6 linked regions of the Oryzias latipes genome follow. The protein of the gene in region 1 binds, or shares a complex with, the protein of each later gene. Links are inferred from orthologs where the notes say so. Each region holds a gene or a part of one and is shown in the gene's direction. Other genes may lie near its edges. The genes, in order: cbll1, wtap, zinc finger CCCH domain-containing protein 13, rbm15, rbm15b and mettl3.

What was found.
Region 2: cbll1 (region 1) and wtap share a complex: the UniProt entries of both Homo sapiens proteins name them as parts of the WMM complex. The link is inferred for Oryzias latipes from reciprocal best matches to the Homo sapiens genes CBLL1 and WTAP.
Region 3: cbll1 (region 1) and zinc finger CCCH domain-containing protein 13 share a complex: the UniProt entries of both Homo sapiens proteins name them as parts of the WMM complex. The link is inferred for Oryzias latipes from reciprocal best matches to the Homo sapiens genes CBLL1 and ZC3H13.
Region 4: cbll1 (region 1) and rbm15 share a complex: the UniProt entries of both Homo sapiens proteins name them as parts of the WMM complex. The link is inferred for Oryzias latipes from reciprocal best matches to the Homo sapiens genes CBLL1 and RBM15.
Region 5: cbll1 (region 1) and rbm15b share a complex: the UniProt entries of both Homo sapiens proteins name them as parts of the WMM complex. The link is inferred for Oryzias latipes from reciprocal best matches to the Homo sapiens genes CBLL1 and RBM15B.
Region 6: cbll1 (region 1) and mettl3 share a complex: the UniProt entries of both Homo sapiens proteins name them as parts of the WMM complex. The link is inferred for Oryzias latipes from reciprocal best matches to the Homo sapiens genes CBLL1 and METTL3.

The regions. Positions count from the first base shown.
Region 1 is NC_019881.2:9,401,935-9,406,298, forward strand, and holds the end of cbll1 (E3 ubiquitin-protein ligase Hakai), read left to right. Parts: intron 1-324; coding exon 325-431; intron 432-621; coding exon 622-705; intron 706-780; coding exon 781-854; intron 855-1,859; coding exon 1,860-2,841; 3' UTR 2,842-3,155; downstream 3,156-4,364. UniProt on the Homo sapiens protein: E3 ubiquitin-protein ligase that mediates ubiquitination of several tyrosine-phosphorylated Src substrates, including CDH1, CTTN and DOK1. Targets CDH1 for endocytosis and degradation.
Region 2 is NC_019882.2:7,320,888-7,326,072, reverse strand, and holds the end of wtap (pre-mRNA-splicing regulator WTAP), read left to right. Parts: intron 1-467; coding exon 468-646; intron 647-2,672; coding exon 2,673-2,827; intron 2,828-2,901; coding exon 2,902-3,560; 3' UTR 3,561-4,122; downstream 4,123-5,185. Other genes in the region: acat2 (acetyl-CoA acetyltransferase, cytosolic), read left to right, coding at 4,508-4,556. UniProt on the Homo sapiens protein: Associated component of the WMM complex, a complex that mediates N6-methyladenosine (m6A) methylation of RNAs, a modification that plays a role in the efficiency of mRNA splicing and RNA processing.
Region 3 is NC_019860.2:22,017,462-22,022,346, reverse strand, and holds part of zinc finger CCCH domain-containing protein 13, read left to right. Parts: intron 1-57; coding exon 58-481; intron 482-1,161; coding exon 1,162-1,358; intron 1,359-1,612; coding exon 1,613-2,851; intron 2,852-3,298; coding exon 3,299-3,907; intron 3,908-4,048; coding exon 4,049-4,189; intron 4,190-4,271; coding exon 4,272-4,472; intron 4,473-4,553; coding exon 4,554-4,717; intron 4,718-4,885. UniProt on the Homo sapiens protein: Associated component of the WMM complex, a complex that mediates N6-methyladenosine (m6A) methylation of RNAs, a modification that plays a role in the efficiency of mRNA splicing and RNA processing.
Region 4 is NC_019865.2:10,859,099-10,864,707, forward strand, and holds the start of rbm15 (putative RNA-binding protein 15), read left to right. Parts: upstream 1-2,027; 5' UTR 2,028-2,191; coding exon 2,192-4,729; 3' UTR 4,730-5,609. UniProt on the Homo sapiens protein: RNA-binding protein that acts as a key regulator of N6-methyladenosine (m6A) methylation of RNAs, thereby regulating different processes, such as hematopoietic cell homeostasis, alternative splicing of mRNAs and X chromosome inactivation mediated by Xist RNA.
Region 5 is NC_019863.2:6,227,046-6,232,419, forward strand, and holds the start of rbm15b (putative RNA-binding protein 15B), read left to right. Parts: upstream 1-1,660; 5' UTR 1,661-2,219; coding exon 2,220-4,712; 3' UTR 4,713-5,374. UniProt on the Homo sapiens protein: RNA-binding protein that acts as a key regulator of N6-methyladenosine (m6A) methylation of RNAs, thereby regulating different processes, such as alternative splicing of mRNAs and X chromosome inactivation mediated by Xist RNA.
Region 6 is NC_019876.2:17,633,279-17,638,008, reverse strand, and holds part of mettl3 (N6-adenosine-methyltransferase catalytic subunit), read left to right. Parts: intron 1-1,254; coding exon 1,255-1,445; intron 1,446-1,527; coding exon 1,528-1,983; intron 1,984-3,820; coding exon 3,821-3,996; intron 3,997-4,411; coding exon 4,412-4,622; intron 4,623-4,701; coding exon 4,702-4,730. UniProt on the Homo sapiens protein: The METTL3-METTL14 heterodimer forms a N6-methyltransferase complex that methylates adenosine residues at the N(6) position of some RNAs and regulates various processes such as the circadian clock, differentiation of embryonic and hematopoietic stem cells, cortical neurogenesis, response to DNA damage, differentiation of T-cells and primary miRNA processing.

The DNA.
Region 1 (4,364 bases):
ACATGGACGGGCCAAGGCGGGAATCGAACCCGTAATCTTCTGCTCGGAGGTCGACCTCCCTACCACTGCCCAACAGCCGCCCTAATGAGGCTGCTCTCTTGTGACTTGACCTGACTTACATTGCTTGCATGTCAATCTTGATGTGTTTATCCTACAATAATCTATCATATCTTTAAATAACTTTATAATTATTATTTAGTTTTAATCAATTTAACAATTTTTTAAAAAATGTTACCGCACTTTTCTGGGGTTGAGCTGAGGACTGCACCCTGTGGGTGTTGTGGGCTTTTTTAGCATCTTTGTGTTATTCTCTGGCTTTCTCAGAAAAGTTCGGCTTCAAGCAGGAGGATCGGTTTGACTGTGGCGCTAAAGCTGGGGATGTGTTTGGAAGTCAGAGAAGATTTCCGCAGCCTCTGTTATGGGACTGTAAGGTATGGTGGCTATAAAGACGGTTTCACTTTGCTGACAGTGTCATGAAAGAGCATTTTCATGCCTAAGTTAGTATCAAAATGAGTTCTGTCTATATTGGTGTTGTTTTTTTGAACGATACTGTTAAAGTTTCTGTTTTTGAGTATATTTTACCAGTATGTGATTCAACATTTTAAGTGACTTTTCCAACAGCTAAATCTGATCGGTGAAAGAGATGAAGTTCCGATTCACTTCTGTGATAAATGTGGTCTCCCCATTCAACTTTATGGACGGATGGTATGTGCAGAATTTCAATTTCTGTCATTTTCAGTCAACATTTTCTTGCTTAACTCTTGACCTTGCATCTTTCAGATTCCCTGCAAGCATGTTTTCTGCTATGACTGCGCTTTGCTTCATGAGAAGAAAGGCGAGAAGATGTGTCCAGGGTGAGACATGTTTCCATCTTCAATGTGTAGTTCTGTTTAATTCTCTGTTAATTGAACAATTGGAAACAGTTTTTTTATGTGGCTGCTTAATGACAAAACGTAATAGAAAAGTTACTAACAAATTGACAAAAGATTGGAAAATATTAGTAAAATAATAAAAAAATATATATATATATATATATATGGCAGTATAATAATTTTTGCTCTGTAAATTTACATTTGGAGGAATTTCATTTGTGGTTGCAAAATTAGAAACATAAAGCACTTTTAAGTGAAAAATGTTTTGAAACAATTTATTAAGCATTGAAGCTATGATTTAATGCAGCCTTAAAAAAAACACTTTCTTGGTTACGGGTAACTTTTTTCCCTCACACGAGTCTATTTCGTTGAATATGAAATAGCGCAAATTAGATTTAGGATAATAAATTTACCTGATTGAAACACGACATTAAGCTAGTATTTATCAAAAAGAAAAAGTTTTTGTGCTTGGAGGTGGTTGTTTTTGAGGCATATCCAAATTGACATATTTCACAAAACTGCAATGGAAACACTTTTTTCAAACTAAATGAGCCCCATGACCAACAACCGGATGGCGAGGCGTCTTTTGGTAGGAACTGGCTGTCTTGGGGAATGCACAGCGGGCGCCACCAGAGGTCCCAAAGCGTCACACAGCTCATCAAAAGTTGAGCGTGTCATGTGGAATTGTTGGGTCCACAGCTCCTCTGATAAATGATGATGAGCGTTGGTGCTATGGCAGAAATTTGGATCTGTTGTCAAAGTATTGTTCACATCTCTCGCCATATTTTTTAATGATTTATCGCGTGAGTAGGTTCGTATTTATTCACATAATTAGGATCTAAAGGAAACAGTGTCATTGAAAAAAAATTTGTTTTGACATTTCGAGAATTTTGATAGGGTTTACACACGTGTGATGCAAAAGCTGCTCGTAACCTGTAGTTTTATGGTTTCTGTTTGAAGAGACTCAACTGTTGTATGTGTGTTCAGTCTCAGTCTGTATAACTGCACGGATCCAGTTCAGCGCATCGAGCAGTGCCAGCGAGGGTCCCTCTACATGTGCAGCATTGTACCAGGATGCAAGCGCACCTACTTGTCCCAGCGGGACCTCCAAGCCCACGTGAACCACCGTCACATGAGAGCCACCAAGTCCTCCTCGGGCCGCCAGGATCCTGTGCATCTGCCACAAGCACCTGAAATTTCTGATCGCTTCCGTGTGCCTCCTCCTCACATCCCTAAGAACCATGTCCACCTCCCAAACCAAATGCACAGCAGTCACGATCCCTACAGTCAGCCGCCTCCACCGACCCCCCATGACGGGCCTCCCCCAACTCCATCTCTGGGACCAGAGACGTTTCGCATTGCCACTGTAACAACTCGTAAACACAGCAATCTCATCACAGTGCCCATTCAAGATGACTCGTCTTCATCACGGGATTCCCATCCTGGTGGGCCATGCCCCAGCCAGCCCCCGCATCACCACCCTGGAGACTATCCTGGGCAGCCGCCTGTGGTGTCACACTCTCACCACATGATGGCGCCACCTCAACAGCACTTTGGTCCACCTCCTCCTATTAGTCACCCAATGCAGCACCCCCCCCAGGGCTCTGGGACACCACACATGGTCTACAACCAGGCTCCTCCCCCCATGTCTACAGCCCCGCCTCCCCCACCAGGGCACATCATGCCCCCCTATATAAATCACCCACCTCCAGGACCTCCCCCACAGCACACCGGACCTCCTGTGAATGCCCCCCCACCTCACCACTACAACCCCAACTCCATGCAGCCGTTCCCTGAAGACCAGGGCACCCTCAGCCCTCCGTTTAACCAGCCAGGAGGACTCAGTCCTGGGATGTGGCCTGCTCCCAGGGGGCCCCCACCTCCTCGAATGCAGGGTCCACCTCCCCAGGGACAGATGCCAGGCCCCCATCACCCAGATCAGGGCCGCTATCGACCTTATTACCAGTAAACTGAAAGCTGGTTGAGTGGGAAGTCGTCGGTGTTGTTCTTTTCCATACCGCTTGTCTAAGTAATGTGATAGTGAACCTCAGGATTTCAGGATGTAGAACTTTGATTTGGATAAAACTGCCCACATTCAAATGTGTGTATGGTGCACATTTTAGTTACCTGTGCTCCACTTCCCCATGAGCGCACTAATAATTTGGAGAAGAGCAGGAATGTCCCTTTTTTAATAGCTTATTGGAAAGGATCTCTGTATATACGTCTGCTGATGTCAATGCTGAAGTGAAAGACGTTCATTCTCAATAAACTTTTCATGTCATACCTACTTGTCTTTATTTGATGAGTTGGGAGCAGCTGAGTTGATTACATCAGAAGTTCTTTTTTGCTGTAATAAAAAAAAAAATGTTTTAAATGCGATCTCCTAAAAGCTTAGGAAACCCAGATGTTAGGACTTTGCTGTATGTTTTTTATTTCCTTTAAAGAAATTCAATTTTTTTGCAACATTTAATAAAAAACTAGAGACTTATAAATAGAAAAAAACCTGCAGCAAGATGAAATAAGTATCAGAGGACAATGATGCAAACTTTTATGCCAGTCTCACAAAAAAGTTGTACTTGTGCTACCGTTTGGTGTCTTAACTGCAAGACTTTTTTTCCCCCACAATAGTTATGAAAAAAATTGTCATGTCTTATTAACATTCTAGTTTGACTTGTTTGAGTGTAATTGTAAAATTGTAAGATTTCTGAAAACAATGCAAGTCACAGCTGGGTCCTCATTGCATGTTTGCTTTGAGGCATAAGATGGGAGAATGGCAGCACCATCGCTCGCTAAGTAGAGTTGGAATGTAAGGCCAAAGGTCCTTGCTCATGTCAGAAGTTGCGTGTTTTAAAAAGTCATGGAGTTGATGAAACAGGCACAGAAAAAACATGAAATCCAGTGTCTAAAAGGTTTGTGTGAGTCTGAGCAGACTTTCATGACTTTCAAGTGTGTAGAAGAATGTTCAGACTCCACCAAACAGAAACTTTATTGCAATGTTGATAACACTCTGTGTGCTAATGGATGTTTGGGTTCTAAACACTTTTTTTTTTTTTTTACCCACAGCACAGTACCAATCTCCTCTGTCTCTTCATATGTTTTAAAAAAAAAATAGGATGGAAGTCATTAACAGTTTCAGCTCAGTTGTAAACGACCTCCAAACAAACATTTTTATAAATATTACTTTTGAATATTAATATTCATGTTTTTATGCCTCTGGTAGAGGTATCTCTACTATAGATGGTGGACCAATCAGAAACATGAATTGTTCTTATTCTTTTTTTGAGGGGAAGGTGGACACTACAACCTAACATAGGTTTGTAGTGGGTTGCACGGTGTTGCAGTGGTTAACTCTTCCTGGTTCAAACCTCTGGCTGGGACATTTCTGTGTGGAGTTTACATGTGCATTCCAGGGTTTTCACCAAGTGTGTCCTGTGAAAGACGGGCAAACTCTCCAGGGTGTACCTTACCTTTGTCTTGACGCTGCCCAGGAAT
Region 2 (5,185 bases), on another chromosome or scaffold:
TCTGTGAAGGGCTGTAAGCTAGCAGGAGAGAGCGATAACAAATGGGTGGAGAAGCAGAGGCAAATTTCTAACGAACAACTGCCTTTCTGCAGAAAATATGTCCTTTAAAATAAAGATATTTTTTACATAATTTTTTTCTACAATTACTTTGTTTTTATATTCTATTTCCTTTTAAGATTACAATGCTATTGTAACACACAAATTTCCCATGTGTGGGATCAATAAAGTGATTCTGATTCTAAAAACAACATAAGCGTAATTACAAGACCACTGGGAAAGTTTTTAAAATCACTCAAAAGAGGATCGAAGTGGGACTTAAAACTAAGCGTCTAGACGCAGATTAGCCTAGATTTTGATCTATTTGAAAGCAGTTTTGTTACATTTTTAAAGGGAAGATGTTTAGGTGTTAAAAGCAGCTTCATAATGTGTGTGACTGGACTCTAACACCTGCCTGTTGCCTCCTACAGACACAGATCCAGTACCTGAAGCAAGTCCAGCAGCCGAGTGCAGCCCAGCTGCGGTCGTCCATGGTGGATCCAGCCATCAACTTGTTTTTCCTCAAAATGAAGGCTGAACTGGAACAGACTAAAGACAAACTGGAGCAGGCCCAAAATGAACTGAGTGCCTGGAAATTTACACCTGATAGGTAAAGACAATCAAAATATCTCCCCCCACCTAAAAAAAAAACAAAACAAAAAAAAAGTCAAGACTTCCTCACGTCCCCCAACCTCACTCTCACTGCAGGCATGCAGGAGCAATGGTGGGGGGGGGGAGAGGCTGACAAAAGCTGTGCTCACCGCGAGGCTCAGACTTGACAGAAATCCAGACACTCCCAAACCAAACTGCTTTTGCACTCTCGCACCGTGCCAGCTACACATCACACAATTTAAAGAGAAAAGACAGTATGGTCAGGTGACACTTGTTTCGGCTCTCTCCTCTTATATCCCCCCGCCGTCCAAAGGGCCCGATGGAGTCCGGACTGCTCTGAAGAGGTGGTCTCTCATTTCTCCACATGGAACTGCCTTCCATGCCCCCTCAGACAGTTCACATATTAAGTAGGGGGTCATGGGAGAAGTTGTGTCCGGCAGGGAGCATCCCTAGCCTAAAGCGGCAATCGAACATTTAAAAGACATTTAAAAAGAAAAAAGACATTTAAACTGTGGATTGCTTCACATAAACAGTAGCTGTCCTGAGAATTTGAAAGACTTTTTGGACTCTCAGATACATTTGAGTAACACCAGGAAAGTCTCTAGAATTTAAAAGTCAGAGACATTAGAAATGACAGTAAGACTGAGCGGAGCAAGTTGACAGAAGAACCACGTTCAGGCGTGAGGGTCTGCTGTCTTTGAACACGGGCCTGCACACGGTAGTGTACTTTTGTTTTAACCTTGTAATGTGTTTTTTGTTTCTTTTCTTTTTTCTTTGATTGACATTCCATTTGATCCTTCTTGTTTCCCTTAGACTCTTACTGCAGTGTGTGAATCCTGCAGCACGACGATCTTCTTTGACTTTGTTGTGAATGTTTTTTTTTTTTTGCACAAGTGACACTTTGGGATGATCGCATATCCAGTTATTGCCGTAGGTGTGTTGAGTCCAGTAACTGAGTTGTAAACTGCAAATGTCCTTGGCACATTGTGTTACGAGTTGACCGAGATGTATTTATTCATTCTGTGTACTGTTTTTGATTGACCTAATCATTTTCCCCACAGCTTAATAACAAAAGAGTTACTCTTTATTTTTATTTTTTTTCATCGCCAGTGTGGTGAGATACTTGTGGACTTTTTGTTTGTACACTAAAATAATTAAGTCACGGTTCTCACCAGGTGAGATAAGAAATGTTTGACATTTATAGGGGTTTTACAAACATTTTCTTTCAACACAGGAAAGAGAAAACTTCAAATTCAAACCAGTATGATGAAAGTTAGAATTACTGAAAATGATGATAAAAAACTTTGGAAGTTTTTATTTTGTTGTTGATATAACATTAAGGCTCTGTACTTGGTATGGGTGACTTAATTTAATATAAAGGGAATGGAAGACATTTAATTATGGTCTACATGTCATTTTTGGATTCACTTTGGCTTCTTGAGTAGGGCACAATGACATGTCACCGTACTGTTTCAGACTTTTTGTGAAGCCAGCAGTATCAAGAGCTAACTGTACTGTGAAAAAAACTGCTCTTTATGTTTTTAAAAAAAAAAAGGATTGCATGACCTTTTCAACAAAGATTTCAAGTTTGAAGGTTCTTTTGTGGGTTTTTTTTTAAATCAAGATTTGACTGTGCTTTGTTTATAACTTTTTTTCCACATCCTGAAATATTTCCGATTCTAATTTTCTCATGCCTTTATTTTTTAGTATTAACCGTTTTCTATGTATAACACAATAACGTAGTTTAGAGTAAAACGATAGAATCGAAATGCCTTAAAAGTCAGAGCATCATTTAGGTTCATGGTTTCATATGTCTGTATTGAACAGGCATCAGACGGCATGTTTAGGTTACTTCAGACGTCTAACTGATGGAATGAAAATGCTTAATAATAGCTGTTAATGACATTGAGGAGTTCCTGGTAAACCCTTGGACAGCTGGAGAGTGAAGAGGAACAGGTCCATGCTAACATTCTGCCTGTTTTCACTTGGTTCACTGTGTGATGTGAGACTTGTTTCCCTTACAGCCAAACAGGGAAGAAACTGATGGCCAAATGTCGAATGCTGATTCAGGAAAACCAGGAGCTGGGGCGGCAGCTATCGCAGGGACGAATTGCCCAGCTGGAGGCTGAGCTGGCCCTGCAGAAAAAGTACAGCGAGGAGCTCAAGAGCAGTCAAGATGGTGAGGAAACGAAAAGCTCCCGTACCCAAATGTCCTCTGTGCATAGATTAAACTAAGCTTATTCTTACTTTCAGAGCTGAATGATTTTATCATCCAGCTTGACGAGGAGGTGGAGGGGATGCAGAGTACCATCCTTGTCCTGCAGCAACAGTTGAAAGAATCCCGTCAGCTGATTTCTCAGTCTCAGGGGCTCTCAGCCGGAGCAGAGCCCAGCAGGACTTCACCCGCTGCTTCCAACTCATCTGCTGAGCTGTCCACAATACAGGAGCCCAGCGCTGCCTCTGAAGCAACAAGCAGAGACTACGGGAGGGTGTCCAATGGTCCAAGCAATGGTAAGTCATCTCAGAGGAGGGAGACCACCACCCCACCCAACTTATACCGGGAAGTCAGTAGCACTGAGGAAGATTTCCCAATGTCCCCCATGGTGTCCAGCCCTGGTGACGCTGAGACCAAACTCTCCAACCACTCATCGGAGGTCCCCGGCAGTCAGACTGCTTCCAGGAGAGCTGGAGGACCTGTGGGTTTCGGAAACCAGCTGAGTGCGGGCTACGAGAGCGTGGACTCTCCAACAGGCAGCGAGACGTCATTAACTCAGCACTCGAATGACACAGACTCGACCACTGATCCCCATGAAGACAAGACTGCCTTGGTGACCAAAGGCGCTAGGACTGCAGGGTCAAGGAACACTCAGAATGGCCTGGAGGGCAACACGAACGCTGGTGCCGATTTGTAATGTACTTTAGAAAGTACTGTCTTTTTTTGTCTTTTTTTTATACAATCTACAAACAAGACAAAAGCTAAATAGTATGTGATGCAGCACTGCTGTCCAAGAAGTTTTTTCACTCTTGTCCCATTGTGTATCTTGATGCCTTTGTTACATTTGTGTAGCTTAACAGGGATATAACAACAAACACTAAATGTTCAATTTGAATTGTGTGGGATTTATGTTTAAAAAAACTTGAGGTTTCACTGGTGTTTATTTGGGCACATCATCTATGCCGTTAAGCTCATGACACTGAAATCCAGCATCTGGTGTTGTTAATCATTTCAAAAGGTGTTTGAATGACAGTAGTTTCACCAATACAAAGAAAGCAAGAACGTCATTTTTATGTTGGCCTCTTTTTTTTTTTTTTTTTTTTTACTTGGTTGGTTTTTTTAAATACAATTTTTGTTTTAAATTGGAAAAAGTTATGTTTGATAGACTTCTAAAATGTGAGTTCATATGTGTCATTCATATTCTGACTTCAACCCTTTTATGTACTGACCAAAAACAATAAAGATTTCTAATACTTTGATGGGGGAACTCGTTATATTTGTCACTGGCACCTATCATGAAGTACAAAATTACATAAGTATAAATTAAACACATTCAAGTAGTTATTTTTATGAGAGAAAAATATGAACGCAAAGCTAATAAACTTTTTTTATGCACCATTTGGGTTGTTTAAACATCCCTGAAGAATGAAAACAGTATTGTAAATAGTATTTACGGAAGTTCATTTTCAAAGACTTGCTATGAATCCTCCAGACCAGTTGGTGGCGCTGTTTCTCATATCAAGGGACTTGCATAAATACCATTCATGCGTTCGTTCATTCAGTTCAGTATCAACTGAGTCGTGTGTAAGTGAACTGACAGAAAGATTTCCTGAAGACTAAAGCTACTCCAGCATTCTGAACAAGATGAACGCCGAGCCTGTTGTTATTGTTTCTGCTGCACGTACTCCAATTGGTAACGTAGCTCATATATATTTACCATGATTTCTTTCATTTCATAGTCCCGTGAATCATATTTCGAATATTTTGTCAAGCCAACACAACATGAAAACATTTTGCATTTCTAACTGAATTGGTTTTACGCTTATCATGTACTTTTTTGTGGTACTTTCCTTCATGTTAAAGGTGTCTTTTGTAAATAGGAAGGTGGTTGTGTCCAACGCGCTGTGTATTTGCAAAGTTACGATTGGCTAGCTCCTGTGTCCGCAGTTTTCTCTTGTTTCTGATTGGCTGGCAGTCATAGGGCCACGGAACACAAGTTTGCTATGATTGGCTGTTCACTGAACGTCTGTGTGACGTAGGGCTCTAATCTTTACTCCTTTTATTGAATCACGATAATTTGGAAAAAAAAGATAGAGCCGTTAAACTGTAAGTTTATAACAACATAAAGTTTAAATATTGTTATTATTTTTACACACTAGTTCCATCGCCTTTTTCTCATTTAATTTATTTTTAAAGTTCAGCCTGGACAGACAGAGGACAAACATGATGAAGGAATGTGAACAAGTGAATCTTCTTTAGTCATGTTATTTTTTTGAAGTAAAGTTCAAAAGATTCATTCTAAGGCAATGTGATAAAGAACTT
Region 3 (4,885 bases), on another chromosome or scaffold:
ATGTAATTATCCAGTTTGTATCATTTGTAACTTTACACGTTTCTCTTTTTCCTGCAGATCAAAGGGCCGTCTCTCCCTCCAGATATCCAGGCAGGTCGGAAGAGTCCGACCGGGACGATCGACGGACAGACCGGTCGGAGGACAGACGGGACGACCGGGCCCGAGAGCGGGAAAGAGAGAGGGAGAGGGAGAGAGAGAAGGAGAAGGAGCGAGAGAGGGAGAGAGAGAGGGAAAAGGAGCGGGAGAAGGAGAGGGAGGCAGAGAGGGAGCGAGCTCGGGAGCGAGAACGCGAGAGAGAGCGTGAGGAGAGGGAGAGGGAGCGAGAGAGGAAGGAGAGGGAGAGAGAGAGGGAGCAAAGGGAGCGAGAGAGGCAGCGGGAGTGGGAGGAACGGGAGAGGGGGAGGGAGGAGAGGCGGGAGAGGAGAGACGACGTCCGGGAGGATCGGTCCGTTCGAGACACCCGGGAGGATCGCAAGCTGAGGTATGTGTGGATGCCAGATCTCTGAAATGCAGCACGGAGTCACCATTTATGATAATTAGCAGAAAATTAGGAGAAAAATTGCTTTACATTGGACAAAGAAAAGATTATATATTTAAAAGGTGAACATTTCATGACAATAAAGGTGTAAAATTAAAGAGAGAGTCAAAGTTTATGAGAATAAAATTGTGAAGTTATAAGAAAAAGTCTAAATTTTTATAAAAGTACAATTATTTTTTAAAAAAAAGGACATTTTACGAAAACAAACAGACAAATATGAGAAAAGGTTACAAAATAAAGTTGTGATAAATAAATAGTCGTACAATTATAAGAAAAAAAGGCTAAATTTTATCAGAATAATAATGAACTATAAATTATGGAAAATGACATTTAAAAAAAAAAAGACTGATGACATCACACGGCTCAAATATCTCACTAAATCTGCTTAACCTTTTTCCGTGACAAAGCAAGACTTTATAAAGTACTTTTTTCCCCCAATATTTCATGACAATATTCTTTATTCTCATAATTTTATATTTTATTTCCTTATATTCCATTGTAGAGATGCAACACACTTCAGTTTTAGACTTCTTAAATCAGAAATGTGTTCATCCAAAAGTAAAAAAAAAACGATATATGTGTATGTTTAATGTTTAAAAAAAATGATTTCTATTCCTTTTTAGTCGCAAGAGAGCGCGGGTGGAGAGCAGCCCAAGCCCCCGACCCTCCCCGAAGCGGGCGGCGAGAGACTTGAGCCCGGCCGACAGCGACGGCTATAATAGTGCCGAAGATAAAAGTGAGCGCCCTATTGGCCGAGGGCCGGCCAAGCTCCACCCACAGCCCCTCCTCCCCAGCCCCGTGTGTCTGCCTCCATCTGACAGTAGGAAAAAATCTCTTTAAAACAGACGCACTCCTGTTTTTGGAGGAAATGCGCCTCTGCAGCACTTTCTCAACCGGCATGCTTTGACTTCTGGTTTGGCTAAAATGTTTTTCATTTTCTGGCTGTCGGTGCAAATTTTACTGTCAGACAAAAAAATGTGGAACTTTTACCAAAGCAAACGTAGTTTTTCTTGGAAAATCTTTGCTAATGTTGGAGAAAAAAACGCTTTGAAATATCGACTGTTTCCTGTCCAGGTGGAGACAAGCACCGTCTGCACAGCCAAGTGGTGAGACCTCAGGATCGCCTGTCGCGGTCGCCACCGAGAGGCGCCGCTTCGGACGACAAAGCCCCCCACTGGAAAGACGAGGAGCGCCGAGGAGCTGCGGAGAAAAGGGAAGCACGGGGCCGAATCGAGGAGCCGGAGCCTCGCAGCGCGGAGCGATGCCGAGGAGCAGAGAGGCGCGGGGAGTACCTCCCTGAAGCCGAGACCCGCGGTAGAGGGAGAGACCAGCGCGAATCGAGTCCTCCGCCGCCGCCACCGCCGCCTCTTGCAGCCATCGCCACTCGCGGTGAAGACAGAGACACTGCTGGCTCTCAGGCCAACGAGGAGGGCAAGAAGAAGGTGAAGTCGCAGAGGAAGGGCATGAAGAAAGCTCGGAAAGAGGATGGAGCCGCCTGTGGAAACCGTCTCGCTGCTCCGGCGGAGCGGTTCAACCCTGAGCCTCCGCCCCCCGCCTCTGCAGACGTGCCTCCGCTCATGCCCTCACCAAGGAAAGGAGCCAAGAAGAAGGCGCTCGACCGGAAGAGGAAGCGGTCGCGAGGAGAAGACTCTGAAGCCTCTGAGGAGGACGCGTCGGCGCCTCCGCCTCACAGTAAGAAGAAGAGAGGACCTCGGACTCCACCCCCCTCCATGAGGCCGGACCACCGGGGAACCGGAGGCAACGCAGAACCGTCGCCGCTCTCCAAAGTGGACAACTTCAGTGACTGGTCGGACGAGGAGGTGACGGACCGGAGCGTCCCTATGGAGAAACAAGCCCCTCCCAGTTCTGGAGACAGAGCTCCGATGGAGACTCTGAGGAGAGGCGGAGCCCCCAGGATGGGCAGAGACAGGTGTAACCCACCTGCCATCGCCCCGCTGCTTTCCCAGGACCCCCCCATGCTGATGCAGACTATGGCCCCGCAGCCTCTCATGTTGCAGCCCGTGCTCCGCAAACTGCCCCCGGAGCAACCGCGCAGCAGCAGCATGGGGAGCAACCAGAGCCGGACGTCCTCCCGGCGCCCCCGCTCACCGTCCAACGAGTCGGGACACAGGGACGACCACCAGGGTCTGCGGCCGCGCCGGGGACGGCTGCATGGCGCCAACTCCCGAGATCGGGAGAGGGAGCGAGAGCGCGAGAGGGAGCGGCCGGCGCTCGGGGACGCTCCGGGAGCTGAGAGGAAGTCCAGAATCGACCAGCTGAGGAGAGGAGAGCCCAGCCGCAGCACGTCGTCAGGTACGTCTTCATTCTCAAACCGGATTTCCGCTGCTCCGTGCAGTGCACGCGTCTGCCTTGCGTTTCATGAGGAGTCTGTCAGTTAGTCTACATGAGCTCTATTGCGTCTCCAAGATCTTATAAAGTTCTATTTTGAATCCCACACCTGTTTCCTGTTCCTCTGGCTTTTTGATGGGAAATACTCCTGTAAAAGACGGACGTCAGACACGACGGAGGCGATGTACGCATTCCCATTGATTATTGGACGTTCTATTTTCTTGCCTCAACGCAAAGGAGACAAACTGCAGGCTTTATTCCGGGTAATCCAGATCCTGGAGATCCACCACCCACCTGCTGGCTTTTGGTTTCCTGGGTCGGGTGACTCCAGGATCTCCACCACCAGGGGTGGGAAAAGTAGTGGCCTAAACCTCGAATATTTGTAATCCAGCAGAGTCGTTTGTTTCACAGACCGTCAAGACTCCCGCAGCCACAGCTCCAGACGCAGCTCTCCCGACTCTGAGAGGCAGGCGAGGTCCAGGTCTCGAGCCGGCTCCTACGACAGCCGGGAGCGGGACCGGGAGCCGTTTGACAGGGACCGAGAACGCGACCGAAAGGAGCTGCGGCCCCAGCAGCAGCCGCAGCAGCCGCCGCTCCTCCAACAGCCCCTCCAGCAACAGAGAGACTGGGAGCCAGAGCCCAGAGACTGGCAGGGCCGTGGGCGGGAGACCCTCGGAATGCGCCCGGGTCGGGAACCTTTGATGAGGGACCGCGACGCCAGAGACCGCGAGCGCCTTCTCCCCGAGGGGATCATGCAGCAGCACGAACGAGAGAGGGAGCGGGACAGGGACGGCAGGGCCGAGAGGGGAGCTGATCGGGAGAGGGAGAGGATGATGATGATGGACCTGCCGCCACTCGGAGACCCCAGGGCTCCGGGTCGAGGAGACGCCAGGCAGGAGAGGGTTGACTATGAGCCACTGCTGCCAAGGGAAGCCTTCAGTCCTGCAGAGGAGAAACCCAGCAACAGTCACCAAGCTGTGGGAGATCAGAGGGAGCTGGAGAAGAACGACAGCGTGGACGGTAAGGGCATTGACGCAGAGCCATCCTCTGGGACCTGTCTATAACCTGGAGGGAGTAAAATCCTACTAAAATTCAGAAAGTATTCTTCTTACCCTCACCTCCTCCTCTCCTTAAGGGATTTTGTGTGCGCTGTGTTTTCAGGCGACGATGACGCTAAAGAAGAGGAGCAGTCTGTGGCGTCCGTTAGAGAAGATTATGAACCAATCAGTGACGACGAGCTGGATGTGATACTGGCCGACAGTCAGAAGAAAGAAGATCAACCAGAGGAGGAGAAAGTCACTGGTACCGATAACAAAGCATTTCTTTTATCGTAAGTTTGTTTACAGCAAGAAAGCTTCACGCCGCACCTCCTTCGTCGCCGTAGGTCCTCTGGACGTGATCGACGTGGACTGGTCCAGCCTGATGCCCAAACAGAAGCAGGAGCCGCGGGCCGCAGGAGCCGCCCTGCTCCGCTTCACGCCGGGCGCCGTGCTCCTGAGAGCGGGAATCTCCAAGCGCCTCGCCGGACCAGAGCTGCTCGAACAAGTCAAGGAGGTGTGCAAGTCGGAGCTGGACGATCCCAAAGGTGAGCTCTCCAGACGAGCCCGCTGCGTTCGCTCCCTCCCCTCTGCGGTTCCTCCTCACGGCGCAGAATCTGTCCCGACAGACCTGGAGAAGCTCTTCGAACACGACCTGGGAGCTCTGAACATGGCGGCCCTCAACAGGCGGGTGGAGAGGGCCGGCTTGCTGAGCAACCTGGGGCCCTGCTGCAAGGCTCTGTGCGCTCGCCGGGACTTCGCCATCCGGCGCCAGCTGTTGAAAAACGAGAAGGTAGACGTCCTCATCACCTGATTTGTGCGAACACTCCCTCCTGAGATTTTCCTCTAAATCTTTAACGTTCATCTGCTTTTGTCTGCTCATTTAATGAACCATAAATGAATAATATTAATTGAGAATGAACGTTTTAGAGCCTGTAATCTGCTGTCATTTTGGGACTTT
Region 4 (5,609 bases), on another chromosome or scaffold:
GTGTGACATCACCCATAGAGTGTGGCTTATACTTCCAGTTCCAAAGACCTTCGTCAATTCAGTCTGCAGTTCTTAACATCGCCGTGTTGGAACCAGAAATCGTTAATGAGCAGTAATCAGTCAGAGTCGGCCTGAGATAGCATTTTTATGGCAACCACTCTCCCCAATCAGGAGTGAGCTTGTTGGACGTCCACTCCTCTACCACTTGAAAGTGTGCTCTGGAGAATCAGTCAATCTAACTCTTGTTGTTTGACCACATGCTTTTATTGAGGCATCTGCTTGGTCAGTTTATAACTTGAATAAGTTGCACTTCCTGCGCTGCCAGGATGAATGCTTCAGTGCTGTCCTGTAGGCCAGGCCTTTCTAGCCATTGGTAGGACTTCTTGACATAAGCCACTTCCTTAATGGTCCAATGGGACATCCCATGTAGGGGCTTGTCCTCCCATGAGGATCTGTCCTATAGCACCGCATCCTCTGCTCCCCATTGCCTGAGACTTTCACAGAGCACACTGTCAATTGGGGCCTTGAGCTTGATGTATTCATGCATCTTGGATTTTTCATCCTGGATAGTGGTTTCCACGCTCAACAGTCCTCGGCTAACGGACATGGTGACCAGTACATTTACCAGCTTGTCTTGAAAAAAGTGTGCTTGATCAAACAAGGCTTGGGGTAAATTTGACTTCCTATTTTTCCTTCAGACCTTTTGACCACTTCCATCTTGTGGTACATTAAAGAACACCTGTCTTCCGTTAAAAGCAAATTCGAATGATGCCTGATACACTTTACACCTCAAATTCAGAACACACACACATACATACAGTAAAACAAAATGAAAAATGAATAAAAATTTTAAATCATACTTCCAGTTTCACTACTTTCTGGACACTTGCAAAGAGGCTTCCGATTTAGAAAATAAATCATATGGAACATGTCCATGTGTTTTTGTTTGTATCTTTTAATATTCAGTTAATATGTTGATATTTGGGTCATTCCAGAACTGGAGGACATTTGGGCTGCAAAATTCATGAAGAGCAAACTTTGACTTTTCTAATTCTCTGCTATATAATCGTCAATAAAAGGTAATATCTGTCAAAGGCTTGATTAACTTTGCTTACAGATCAACTGCGAAATATTTATGACATTATATTGATGATGACAAGACTTGATGCAACCTTGTTATCAATTTTTGCAAGTAACAGGGTTGCAAACATGTATTAATATTGACTTTCTCTCAGGAGTAGACGCTAGTTGTTTAGCTGTCACTGAGTACCAATAAGAAAATTAATGTGATTTCAATGGCATGCCTTTTTGCATTTCTGACCACCCCAGAATGAATGGTGATATCTTGTTTTTCTCAGTTGCTACTTTACATGCTAATTTGATTGCTTACTTACTCATAAAAAAGCAACAACAATAACAATAATTGTCTTACTCTGATTATAGGGAAACAGGGTTGCATGAGGCGGAGTGAGACATTCAATCTAGGATAACTATGTGTTAAAAATAAAAGATCCACGTAACTTTTGCTCTACCCATTCTTTTTGAATACTGTTTGATGATGTCAAGTCCAGCATATCACTCTTTGCTATATTCTAACCCTCTTACCTGTTATGGTAAAAGGAATTGTGTGGATTCGGTGGGAAACACATTGTATTGATCATAAATAATATTTGAAATACTTCTTTTATTTAAAAAAATCCCACGGTTACATAAAACACCAATCAAAACAAGATATACCAAAAACTGAATCTAAAATTTAATTTTAACTGCTTTTATTGAAGATTTAATTTGGACAATGGGGGACGGGACAAGAAAAAATGCATTTTAGGGGGTACATTGAGCTTATTTGGCATTTTTTAAATTATTTTCAGTAATTATTTTCACTTAGTTTTGCATGTGGATTATTTAAAATAGGTTTATTCTGAAATGACCCATTTTTTAATCCATCGCTGTGTGCGTGATTGACGGGATTTTAAAAGGTTTTAACCAATCGCCGCCCCCCAAACACCGGCCAATCAGCGCATGGAGGCGGGTCTTCTCACAAATCTTAACAAAATGGCGACTGTTGTTGTTTTGCCGCAGGGTCGGTAAATAAATTCTTTGAACGTATTGGATATTTTCTACATTATTTTGTGGAAGGAGTGCAGGAAAAAGCCAGTTACCACAAAGAGTTTACTCTTCGTGGGCTGCAATGAAAGGAAAGGAGCGGTCGCCGATTAAAAAACGGTCCCGGGCCTTGGACGACATTCGAGAGAGGGGAGGATGCCACCCGACCAGCAAGAAAATGGGGGCTCTCTCCGTTTCCAGTGGGAGTAATAATGGAAACAGTTCGTCCAAAAGCGACAGCGGCTCAACGAGACGGAGCTTGTTGGGTGAGAAAAGGGACAGAGATTTTGAGGGCCATAGTCGGACTGGAAATAATCACAGCTGTCAGTCTGCTGCTTCCAGCTCCGTGGGTAAAAACCACAACCTGAGCCTGTCGCTAGACCTAGCCTCCCCGCGAGCCTCTTCGCGCGCGGAGCAGCGTGTTCCGCCGCCCAGCACCGAGAGTGAGTACAAAACACTCAAAATCAGCGACCTTGGGAATCAGCTGAGCGAGGAGGATATAGAAGATGGGCTTTTTCATGAATTCAAAAAGTTTGGCGACGTGAGCGTCAAAATTAGTCGCAGCAACGACGAACGGATTGCTTTCGTTAACTTCAGGAAGCCGGAGGACGCCAGGGCTGCTAAACACGCCAGAGGCCGGCTCGTGCTCTACGACCGGCCGCTGAAGATCGAGGCCGTTTACACGAGCAGGAGGAGAAGCCGCTCCCCCGTGGAGAGGGACTTGTACAGCGCAGCACAAAGTCACAGACACTTGCAGAGACCCCTGTCGCCCACCGGCCTGGGTTACAGAGACTACCGGCTGCAGCAGCTGGCTTTGGGACGGCTCCCTCCTCCCCCTCCGCCCCCTCTGCCCAGAGAACTGGACCGGGACAGAGAGTTCGCCCTGTTTGAAGCCAGGGCACGTCCAGCTTTCCTTGCAGAGCGAGCAGCTTTTCGTGAAGAGGATTTAATATCTCCGGAAGACGACCAAAGAGCAAACAGGACTTTGTTTTTAGGCAACTTGGACATAAACATTGCAGAAGCAGACCTCAGGCGGGCTTTCGACAGGTTTGGAGTCATAACAGAGGTGGACATCAAGAGACCATCACGAGGACAGACCAGCACATATGGATTTCTTAAGTTTGAGAACCTTGACATGGCTCATCGTGCTAAGCTTAGCATGTCTGGAAAAATAGTGGGTCGCAACCCTATAAAAATCGGTTACGGAAAAGCAACACCCACGACCCGTTTGTGGGTCGGTGGACTTGGACCGTGGGTTCCTTTAGCTGCCCTGGCCAGAGAATTTGATCGCTTTGGCACTATAAGGACCATTGACTACAGAAAAGGTGACACTTGGGCCTACATCCAGTATGAAAGTTTAGATGCTGCTCAAGCAGCATGGACACACATGAGAGGCTTTCCGCTGGGAGGCCCAGAGAGAAGACTTCGGGTGGATTTCGCAGACACTGAGCACCGGTACCAGCAGCAGTTCTTGCAGCCTCTCCCTATTCCACCGTTTGACATGGTGGCTGACTCGTTTGTCCACCGCGCCACGCCTGAACCTCTGAGAGTCAGAGATCGGACTCCACCTCCACTTCACTTCAGGGACAGAGAACTCTTTCCAGCAACGGAGTGGCCCAACCCGGCCATTCGTGAGCGGGTCCGGGGATCCCCCTTTGAGCCTCTGGAACATTTGGAACGCGACCGGAGAACTCGAGAGCCTTGGTCTTTGGAGCGTGAGCTGCAAGGGCGAGAACCAGGACGTAAGAGACGCTTATTGGAGGATGGCCGTCACCTAGATCACTCTCCTGACAGCACTGAGAGGACAGTGAGACGTAGACGTTCTTCTCCAGATGGCAGTCCTGGGGGCAGCAGCAGAGACGGAGGACGTTTCAGTGACTCTGAGCATCCTGTGCACAGTGAAACGGCCTCACCAGCCAGAGAACATGTCATTAGCCTTGAAAGAGGTGGGGCGGATCGAAGGGTTAAAAGCCAGAGTCTTTCTGAGAAAGGACTCTCATCTGCTGGTGAGCGGAAACGCAAAGCGGGCGACAGTGGCAAAGTGCCTGCCAAGAGAGAACGCTCTGAAAGCAGCTCTAAAGGAGCCCAGCAATCCAAACCTGATGGCACCAAACTCATTGTGGCATGGCGCGGAATGCTGCTCCTGAAGAACAGCAACTTTCCAGCCAGCATGCATCTCCTAGAAGGTGACTACGGCGTCGCCAGCGACCTGCTCATCGACGGCTCAACCGGAAGGCAGGTGAGCGAGCTAAAGATCACGCAGCGTCTCCGTCTGGACCAGCCAAAGCTTGATGAGGTGTCTCGGCGCATCAAAGTCGCCGGTCCAGGCGGCTACGCCATCCTGTTGGCAGTTCCTGGAAGCACAGAGGACTCCTCTTCATCTGATCCTATGGCCTCAACCCAGCGGCCCCTTCGCAACCTGGTGTCCTACCTCAACCAAAAACAAGCAGCTGGGGTCATCAGTCTGCCTGTGGGAGGGAGCAGAGATAAAGACAACACAGGGGTTCTTCATGCTTTCCCCCCCTGTGATTTCTCTCAGCAATTCCTGGATTCCTCTGCAAAAGCTCTGGCAAAAAGCGAAGAAGACTATCTGGTCATGATTGTGGTTCGTGGAGCATCTTAAAAAAAAAAAAAGAGAAAAAGTCACAATGCACTATGTTCAAGTGGAATATAAGAAAAAACAAGTCTGCTGTTTGTCAGTAATTATTGCATGCTGTGTTCTGCATTGTGGGGTACACTAGTATGGTTCTTGAGTGTTTGTAAGGTGCCATGTAATTCACTAAAAAGACATATGGTGCCCTGCAACCAAACTAAAAGGTTCATCTTAAAAATATCAAGTGAGTATTTGAATTTGATCAGTCACAAATGCTTCATTACAAATTGATGATTTGGGGATTTATTAGTTAAAATTCAGATGTTCTGCAAGAATGAAAAACCTCAGAGTATTTACACAATAACTCGGTGATAAAAGAAGCCCAACATATAAAAATGACTTTATTTAATTTTTGCTTTTAGATCATTTTTTTTCTGATCCACTATGTTGCATTACCTCAGCCTGTGCTGATGGTGTTATTGTTGGTATTCTGAAAAAAACAGCAAACCCCCCCTTACCTTCACCTAAAGTGCAGTGAATTGTCAGCTCTTTCTGCTTTGAGTAAATTGTGAACTCAAGATACTTGAGGAAATGGAAATAAATGGTTCTATTAACTGTTATAGAATGGCAGTAACAAATATTTTTGTTGTAAAGGGAGAACAGATATTCCAATAAGGTTAAAACACATCACACAACTCTTCAATGGAACTACATCCGATAACTTAGCCGTGTTCTTTAGTTAAAATAACACCATTTCCGTTAAAAGTTTCAAAGAAAAAATGAGTTGTGCTCTGTGTTTGACCTCGGTTCCACAGTAGTTAATTGAAGGTCACCATTTGGTTAGAGTCCATGTATTTCAGCTGCAGTTTTGTGAACTTTTGCTGGGGGAGGGGTCAGGTTTTATTGAATC
Region 5 (5,374 bases), on another chromosome or scaffold:
AAAAGAAATACAGAATATAAAAGATTAATGAGGAAATAGTTAACAAAAAGGAAAATTTGCAAGTACGAAATTAAAACATTAAATATATATGTATAGGTAAAAAAATTATGTTTACAAAAAATTGCCTTGGATGTATTAATATTTTTAAGAAATTTGACAAATCTCTTATCCTAAATCCAGTAAATTTGGGAGTTTTTTTTCTCTTACTTTGCCCTTTTGTATGAAAAATTTAGGTAGGAGAAGCAACAAATTAATAACGTTTTCTACCATTTTATCACCAAAGTTAAAATGTGTAGAATTTGTTTGAAATGTATTAGTTTACTTTGTTTCTTTAAATTGTTCTAAACGGATCCAGAAGTGAAAGGATGTACAACAGTAGAAAAGGTGATGAACTGATTTAAGTAAAACTACAGTTATTTTCTATCTATCTTTAGAATTTAGAAATGAACATATTTGTGGGGTAAATGTTATTTGAAATTCTTTTATGTATTTCTTTAACTTTATTGTTTATTCAAAATGTATCTGGCAGTAACCATGCTTTTTTTCCAATTGATATAATTTAAAATATGGTTCCAATAAATTTCTCCTTTAGGTGTTATGCTTCTTTTTTCGCTAAAAGTATTATGTGTTTGTTGTTGCAATTTTTTGATTGAAAATATCAATACCATTAAGTGTTAAAGGAGGGTGTATTTCAGATTCCTCGTGATATTTAAGGTTAGAAGTCAGTAGTTGAATTACTCCTGAGACAAGAGCTTTCATTACACTCTTGAATTCTTTGCTTGTTACTGGAAAACACATTTTATTGAAGAACCTGTCATAATCGATGGCTGCCATTCTCATCAAAAAGATCAAATTTTTGATGGTTATATCATCATTGTTCCAAGTTATACTTTTGTTTGGTGAGAAATAATGTGCATAGCATAACGTCCAGGCACGACAAAACTTGCAGATACAAATTTTAAAGATTGACAGGAGTCTTTCTGATATTTACATTTAAAAAGAAATTGAAGACCCCCGATTTTATTATAAAATATTAAATGGGATAAAGTACCAAATTGATTTTGAGTCTTAAAGGCCTTTTTGAATCCAGTAACCATTAAATGTATAATTCAAATCTGAGAAATGTAGGAGTTCATAACCTCCTTTGCATGAGGGGGCATAAAATAGTTCTTTCTGAAGATAGTGACGTCTATTTTTCCATACAAAGTTAACTAAGAGGTTGTTTATTTCTTTGGAAGTTGAACAGAAGTAAAGATAAGGATAGATTAGGAGAAATTTCTCTTGAGATACCTTTCGCTTTAGCCAAGAGGATCCCGCCAAAAATAGATAGATCTATTTGAAGCCACATATTCATGACATCTTGCATTTTTTCTAATTCTCAAGGAGAAGTTTTGTGTTTGTCTAGATTTTCTGTCCATTGTTATACTGGTGCCTAAATATGTAACTACATTTTTAACAGGGATACCATGTTTTTCTTTAACCATTTTAACCTTTGTGCTATCCTAGGCACTTTAACATTGGGAGTTGGGTCATCTAGACCCACTAGACAGTGCTCTGAACCTTTTTTCTTCAATGATTTGTGATCTTCACTGGTGTCCATGGATTACATGAAATCTTTCCACCTTTATCCACCTTTGTCATGGTAGGAAGAACACGTCAATGCAAGGGTGGGGTCATAGGTTAGCACGAGGGTTAACTTTTTAATAATATTTGACATTTAACTAAACTAAGACGTAATCTCTATTGACGTAATCCAGAAGCGTTTGAAAAATAATTAATTATACTTGTATCAAGGTCAATGTGGTTTCTGTCTATTAAGAATAATGCAGTATCATCTGCTTGCTGTGTTATTTTGATTTCCTTTGAAAAATGGATAAACCTAATAAACAAGGACAATTTGGTATGCAGGAGTTTTCAAATCAAAACGTGCAACGTGCTTGCGTCACTACAGGCTCCGCCCTCCTTTGGGAACGCGCACATTCCTATTGTCCAAGATGGCGGCGCTGGTGCAGCTCTTGTGATGCTGACATGTTTTTAAAGGCTTCTCCTCTTTTCCCCGTAAATGTGTGACCACTCGGAGCCCGCTCTGGAAGCGCCCCCTAACCGAAGCAGCCTGCGCCGCCGCCGTCTCCGAGCTAACGCTCCCGGAATCCGCAGCAGCGCCGGATCTCCGCTGCAGGCTCGGAAAAAAAGTTGAAACTCTCCATCATTATTGGAAAATGAAGCGGCAGGCCGTGAGAGACGGCAGCCCATCCAGGGCCCTAGCCAAGCGGATTCGAGAGAGAGAACGGGAGAGCGCCCGCAGAGAGGAGCTGCCGCCGCCGCCGCCGCTGGCTCTGCTGCTGGCGGAGAGCCGGAGCTACCACCGGCGGAGCCGCAGCAGGGAGCGGGAGAAGCCGCGCCTTCGGGAGGAGCGCGCGGCCGCGCTGGAGCTCCACCACCGACACGAGCTCAGCCTCCTGGGCCGGCCGCCGCTGCGGGCCGCGGAGCTCCCCGCCGCGAGACCCGGCACGCTGGAGTACAAAACGCTGCTCATCAGCAACCTGGGCTCGCAGGTGTCGGACGAGGACGTCGAGGACGCGCTGTTCCACGAATTCAAAAAGTTCGGGGACGTGAGCGTGAAGCTGTCGCACACGCCGGAGCTCGGCCGCATCGCCTACGTCAATTTCAGACAGCCGGAGGACGCCAAGGAGGCCCGGCACGCCAAGTCCTCCCGGCTGGCTCTGGGTGATAGACAGCTCAAAATAGAGCCCATGTACGTTAGGAGGCGGAGCGTCACCCCCCCGGACGTCAGCTATCTACCTTTACACGCCCCCTATCCGTACAGACAGCGCTCCTTGTCCCCACCCGGGACCGGCGTGAGCAGCATGCGGGACCTCCGGGCCAGACACTTTGCGCTGGAGAGCCTGGGTCTGAGCAGAGACCGGGAAAGGCTGCTGGACTATTATGGTATGCTGGATGAGAGGGGGCGGCCCTACGCGTTCCCCCCCATGCCTGTAGTGGAGGACCTGAAGCCCGAGGATGACCAGAGGGCCACCAGCAACCTGTTCATCGGAAACCTGGACGGGAATGTGACGGAGGCTGAACTCAGGAGAGGGTTTGATAAATACGGCATCATTGAGGACGTGGTCATCAAACGGCCAGCACGCGGCCAGGGCGGGGCTTATGCCTTTGTAAAGTTTCAGAACCTTGACATGGCCCACAGGGCCAAAGTGGCCATGCAGGGCCGTCTTATTGGTGGAAACCCAATTAAAATCGGATACGGCAAAGCCAACCCCACCACCCGACTGTGGGTGGGCGGTCTGGGACCAGGAAACTCGCTGACCGCTCTGGCGCGGGAATTTGACCGCTTTGGAAGCATTAGGAACATTGACTATGTGAAGGGCGACAGCTTTGCTTACATCCAGTATGAAAGTTTGGATGCAGCCCAGGCCGCCTGTACCCAGATGAGGGGCTTTCCTCTGGGCGGGCCAGAGCGCCGCCTCAGGGTGGACTTTGCTAAAGTGGAGGAGAGCCCCTCCCGCCCATTTCCCCCTGGTTACCAGCTTCCTGTGCCTCCCCCCACGCATTATGACCTCCTTGGAGAGGCCTACAGTCGCCATCGCAGCCTGGAGCGCGAGCTGAGAGGAACCAGGGAGCGCTCCTCACCGCCCTCCCACAGCCTCCTCTCTTTGAGAGAGAGGGTCCTGCTGGAGAGAGAGTTTCCCAGCAGCCCCACCCGAAGCCTGGACAGGAGGGTGGGAGGAGTGGAGGCGTTTGGAAGAGCTGGCCGAGGGGCGAGGAGCCGCAGCAGGAGCAGGGAACGCTGGCTGAAGGAGAGGGAGGAGAGGAGGAGCCGCAGGAGAAGCAGAAGTCTGTCTGTCGACAAGCAGTCGGAGGAAAAGGAGAAAGAAAAGGGAAGGTCGAGGGTTCGAGTTCCGGGAGGCACCGCCTCCCCTGATGCAAGCCCAGACCGAGCACGGGTTCGAGCCCCGGACTCCACCACTGAGCCAAGAGACCACTCCCCTGACAGTGGTGGAGGGGGGCGACACGCAAATGCCACAGAGGAAGAGCCCCCATCCAGCCGTCACCACAGCAAGAGGTCCGCGAGCGTCAACAACCACCATCGAAACAGCGACGTGGCCGCCGCCAGCCCCCCCGCTGCCCACACGGACACCTCGTCCACCCTGAGCTCGCTGTCGGAGTACGCCCAGGGCTCCCTCACCAAGGTGTGGCAGGGCTTCTTTGCCTTGAAGAACAGCAGCTTCCCCACGGAGCTGTACATGCTGGAGGGAGGGGCCTCCTTCCTGAGCGGCGTTTTGAAGGACAGCCTGAATCTGCAGAACCGGAACCAGCCAAGCCAGTTGAAAATTGCCCAGCGCCTGCGCATGGACCAGACCCGGCTGGACGAGGTGTCGCGCCGCATCAAGCTCGGCCGCCCTGACGGCTTTGCCATCCTGCTGGCTCTGCAGGGCGCCATCGACCGCCAGGCCCCCGCCCCTGAGCCGGGACTGCAGATACGTCTGCTCCGGCACCTGGTGACATACCTGCGCAACAAAGAGGCGGCGGGGGTGGTTGGTCTGCCTGCCACCAAAGAGGGGGGCACGGGTGGGATGCTGTACGCCTTCCCCCCCGGTGAGTTCTCACAGCAGTTCCTGCAGGCTGCCCGGAGGACTGTGGGTAATCTGGACGAGGAGCACATGGTCATTGTGATCGTCAGCGACACTAATTGAGTCTGGTGCCGGCTCAGTCCCACACTACAAGTCCTTCCATGGTTTGCTGGGGGGCGTGTTTTGACTCCTCTGTCGAGGTTCCCCTCCGACAGTCACGCCGGGACGCATTCAATTAAAAAAAGCAGAAAGGTCGTCGCCCCGACAGGCAGCACGCCGCCCTTTCTGCTTCAGGTGGAACTGAGAACACTAATGCCTAGCCTGATGGTTTCTATGCTTCATACTTTATGTGTTTGTATCCTGGTGTCACCTGACCTGTGCCGACACCTCCAGTGACATGGAGACTTTCTGCAGAGCAGCTGGACTGTAAGCTGATGCCGGCTGATCGAGTCTCTCCTCTCTGGACTCTACCAACTTTTTATTTATAGTTCAAAGGCTCCTGGGCCAGTAGACAGAGTCCCGGCCGTCCTAACCACTCCGCCGGTGTTTTTATCAGATCGCTCATTCCACACTTCACTTTGCTTTTTATGGTGCCAGAGTGTTTTCTCTGTTGTTGCATGGACTAGAATGAATTTCTATGGATAAAGATGTAAACTACCTTGTGGAGACGTTTTAAAAAAATATTTTCGAGTCGTACTGTTTCAATTTTTCTTTTTTATTGTGGACATTTCAAACTTCAGTTTTTAATCTGTCAGTCCATCCACACTTGAACTACTCGTTTTAAT
Region 6 (4,730 bases), on another chromosome or scaffold:
TTAGAAAGATATATATAGATTCTAAAAAATTATTTTAGGAGCAAAATCACAAATGTTGATTATTATAACAACTTTACAGTAAGTAGCTAGCAATTCGAGATTACTTTGTTTTCTTTTTGTTGTTGTGGTTTTTGTTTGTTTGTTTGCAAGTTGAACAATAGATTCCTTAAAATAAGTGGAAATAAAATTTAACAACTGAACAATCCTAAATGGAGCAGAGGAATCAAAAATTTTTTTTAAAGACCGACTCTGATGAAAATCATGTTATTGGGGGTTCTTCTCCTCATAGCGTTTTGCTCAGGATGTAGGGAAAAACAAGAAAACTGCTTTTTTGAGTATTTTTTATTTCCATGGTGATGGATCAGGAGGCTGCACGGTGGCGCAGTGGTTAGCACTCTTGCCTCACAGCAAGAAGGCCTCCGGTTCAAGTCCCAGCTGGGGGACATGAAAAACAACATCAACAGGGGGCTTTTCTGTGTGGAGTTTGCATGTTCTCCCCGTGTATGTGTGGGTTTTCTCCGGGGTCTCCGGCTTCTTCCCACCATCCAAAAACATGCTTCATAGGTTAATTGGTCACTCTAAATTGTCCCTATGTGTGAGAGTGTGTGGTGTGTTTGTGGACATTCTACCCTGCGACAGACCTCGCCCACAAGTGGCCGGGATAGGCTCCGGCAGCCCCGTGACCCCGAAAGGGAAAAACGGTTAAGAAGATGGATGGATGGATGGATCAGGAGCAGATAAAAACCCACTATTTGGAAAAGCTTTCAGTTGTGATGCAGCGTTTGAAATGGGCGGCAGAAAGTCTCCCAGCTCCGCTCCACTCTGATCCATCCACTGGCAAACAAGTAGATACAGTAACGTCTTCATTTTCCTCGTCTGAGCTGACATCCAGCTCAAAACTGTACGGCTGGATACCTCTGATATTGCTCGCTATTTTTGTTTCACCCCTAATACAAGCTGGGAGTGTTGAGGGGCTTTAAGCTAGCAGAAGAGCGTGTAAATAGAGGGTGATGGGATATCAGCAGAGGGTCACAATTCAGAGGCGAAGCCTGATGAACTCTTGCCGTTTTAAAGAAAAAATGTCTTTAGAAAAACAACACAGGCTTTTGGCCAAAACAGCATAATCATAATTAAAAGACGACTGGAAATGGTTTAACAATAGATATAAATATAGTCGGAGTCCGACTGTTAAATGTGTTTATGCGTTTTCTTTTCTTTTCTAATGCAATGTGTTGGTCCTTCTTGGTCTCTCAGACAGTGGGACCGTCCCAGATGGCTCTGCAGTCAGGAGTGACAGCCCGGCTCCACCAGCTCCATCCAGCTCTCAGGAGGAGACAGAAAAACCACCGGATCCTGAGCTGGAGAAAAGGCTGCTGGGATATCTGTCTGACCTGAGTCTTTCGTTGCCTATAGACTCCCTTGCCATCAGTAATGAACTCAACAATGTAAGGTGGTTTTCTGGGATCATTGAAGAACCTGTTGGATGCGGCGTTCTACACTATGATTTCTTTGTTTATCTGTCTGAAGCCTGAAGCTGCCGCCAGTCATGGATGCATCCAGAGCCTCCTGCTAAAGTTCTCAGCTCAGGAGCTCATTGAAGTCCGACAGCCCACGTCCGTCTCTGCCTCCTCCGCGGTTCCCTCCTCCACCGTCGTGGTGGCAGTGGATCACACCAAGCTGTGGGCCATGATTGGATCCGTGGCGGGATCCCAGAGGACGGCGGTCAAGAGGAAAGCAGAAGACGTGGCCTTCAGTAGCAGAGCCGGCAGCTTCTCGCCTTCCCTTCAGAGCTCTGCTTCTCCTCCACGCTCATCCATCTCCTCCCTGACGCCCGCCTCCTGCTCCCAGCTGACTGGCTCCTCTGCGTCGGGGGGCGGAGCCGAGAAGAAGGGCAGGAGCAACAAAAGCCAGTCTTCTCACGTGGACATGGAGATCGAGAGCCTGTTAAACCAGCAGTCCACCAAGGAGCAGCAAAGCAAGAAGGTGATCCAATGTTTTTCTCTGCCGGAAATGAATCCTCACTCCTGATGTTTTCACAGATAGAAAGACGGAGGAAAGCAAGTAATCAATGTTAAGAGTCTAAAGTGGGATTTCAATGTATTTTTACACATCAAGGGAACGTTCGTGTACAACACGGATAATCAAAACAGAGAAAATAAAACGGTGTCTGGTGTGTGTAAGATTAAAGTTAAACAGAAGAAAATATAAAATCCAAAAGTCAACGATTAATTTGCCAAGAGGAAATAAGTATCACCATTTTTAGCTTAGTAAACATTTCTTTTCTTCAAAATCTACACCCATAATTATGCATTGCTCAGTGATATTGACTGATACATTAGAAACGAATGTAAACCTCATACCTGGAGATCAACCAAGTCTTTTCTACTAAATGCTGTTGAGTTTGTCCAATTATCAAAACCATTAACAATGTTGAGCAGCAAAACCGTAAGGAAAATTGGACCTGTGTTTGGTAAATGTAAAGAAGATGAAATATTACAGGGGTCGGGAACCTATGGCTCGCGAGCCATATATGGCTCTTTTGATGGTCACATGTGGCTCGCAGACGAGAAAAATATTAGGTCTTTTCTGGCCAAAAAGTGGAAAAACGTTTGAAAACTGCGTGGACTCAAACCACGAGTATGTTTGATATTTAATAAAATAAACTTCACGTCCTAAAAGTTAAGAAAATTTTTAATTTATACTCTTGTAAAATATCCTTTTGAGACATTTTTGTGAATGAGATAATATTAGAAAATATTTATTTTATTTGTTATGATTGAAGCTTCCAGCTTTAAAGCTAAATGTTGCTTCATTATTTTTTACATTTTTGGGGTCTGTTTGGGGTCAAATCAGGGTCAGTTTAAAGGGAAGTGAAATTCCAAACTGGAAATTAGTAAAAAAAAAAAAAAAAAAAAGCAGTTTTAAACTCAAAATTACACATTCCTCTCCTTTCCTCTCTTTTCTTTTTCTACTGTTGGAAGAGGCTTGGTGTGAAATGTCAAAGCCGTGCAAATCAGTTGAATCTTTGGCAACTCTATTCTCATAGATGAAAAACTTGCTGTCATTGAATTCACAAACTACAATTCTTCATTTCTCCTCCATGATTCATGTTCAAATGGTTGCCACTTTTGTGAATTAAAAGGAACACCATCCATACGTCACTACTAAGTACGAGTCTCTGACTGAAGTTCAACCTGGTTTAACTTTCAACACGCATTCAAAATTTGTTTAGATCCGCTGGAAAGTGAGAGCTTTGAATGCAAAAGCCTCGTTTAAACAGAGCTTTCAATGAAAGTGCTCTTGTTGCCAGGGGCGATGTGAACAAAGCTCCACTCCCACATAAAAATGGTCTCAACACCAAGAAATGTTGAAAATACAAAACAGCAGCTGTGACAAAAAAACATAATTTTTCATTTGGTAACAGTTTTAGATTTGTTCTTTTTTAACCCCTCCAGACTCGAATTTATTTGCAACTGAAAAAAATAAATTCCACTTGAGTTTTTGCTTTCAAGTAGATGATAAATTCAGTTAATTTTGCAGCAGAAGTGGTTCGATGCACATTTACATCAATAGACATAAAGGGGGTTTTAACTTAAGTTTCAAACTTAATTGTTTTTCTGATTTTCAATATTTCTTTTACCGCAAGTTTGAATTATTTTTGTTTCAAATTTTCTTTTTCAAAGTTTGCTTTTTTTTATTTTCTTTTTAATGTAATTTACAATCTAGTGTTTTATTTACTTTCAGCTGATCGTCATTTGACCCCAGGTTGGAGGTCAATGCTCTTTCATCATCATCATCATGTTTCTGAACATGTGTGCAGGTGAGCAGAGAAATCCTTGAGCTGCTGAACGCCAGCACCGCCAAAGAGCAGTCCATCGTGGAGAAGTTCCGCTCGCGAGGACGCGCTCAGGTCCAAGAGTTCTGCAACCACGGGACCAAAGAGGAGTGCGTCCGCTCCGGGGACGCTCCTCAGCCGTGCACCAAGCTGCACTTCCGGTGAGATTTCTGCCTCAAAGCCCAACATTTGACCCCTCGACTTCTTAAAGCTCACTCTGGTTTGATGTTGCTGAATTAGAAGAAACCACTGTTTTATATTTATATTAGAAAAAAAAAACTACCTATTTCAACCTGAAGATGGCGCCATTTATCTAACAAAAAGCAGCTCATCTAACTATATAGCCATTGCTTTTTGACACACATCTCATTAAATTCTATGGATGAACTTTTTTTTTTTCTATTGCTTTTTTGTAATTTGCTTTAATTCTAGGATAAAATTCAGATTTTACATTTTTACTCTTCTCGCTCATCTTTTTATTCTTACATTTGTTCCGATCAGTTCAGGTTTTGTCCGTGAAGCGAAACGCTTTAAATTCATGAGCTTAAAGGTTTTTCTGCTGTTTCTGCTCCTCAGTCGCATCATCAACAAGCACACAGACGAGAGCCTGGGCGACTGCTCCTTCCTCAACACCTGCTTCCACATGGACACCTGCAAGTACGTCCACTACGAGATCGACAGCCCGCCGGAGGCCGAGAGCAGCCTGGGGCCGCAGACGGGGGGCGCGGAGGTCAGCCTCTGCGCGGGGGACGCCGACAGCAACGTGGGCACTCTCTTCCCATCGCAGGTGAGGAGGGGACATCAGGCGGAGAGCGCTTTTCTTAGCGGGAATTCTAGTCTCTCAGCAAAGCGTTTCCATTTCTCAGTGGATCTGCTGCGACATTCGTTACCTGGA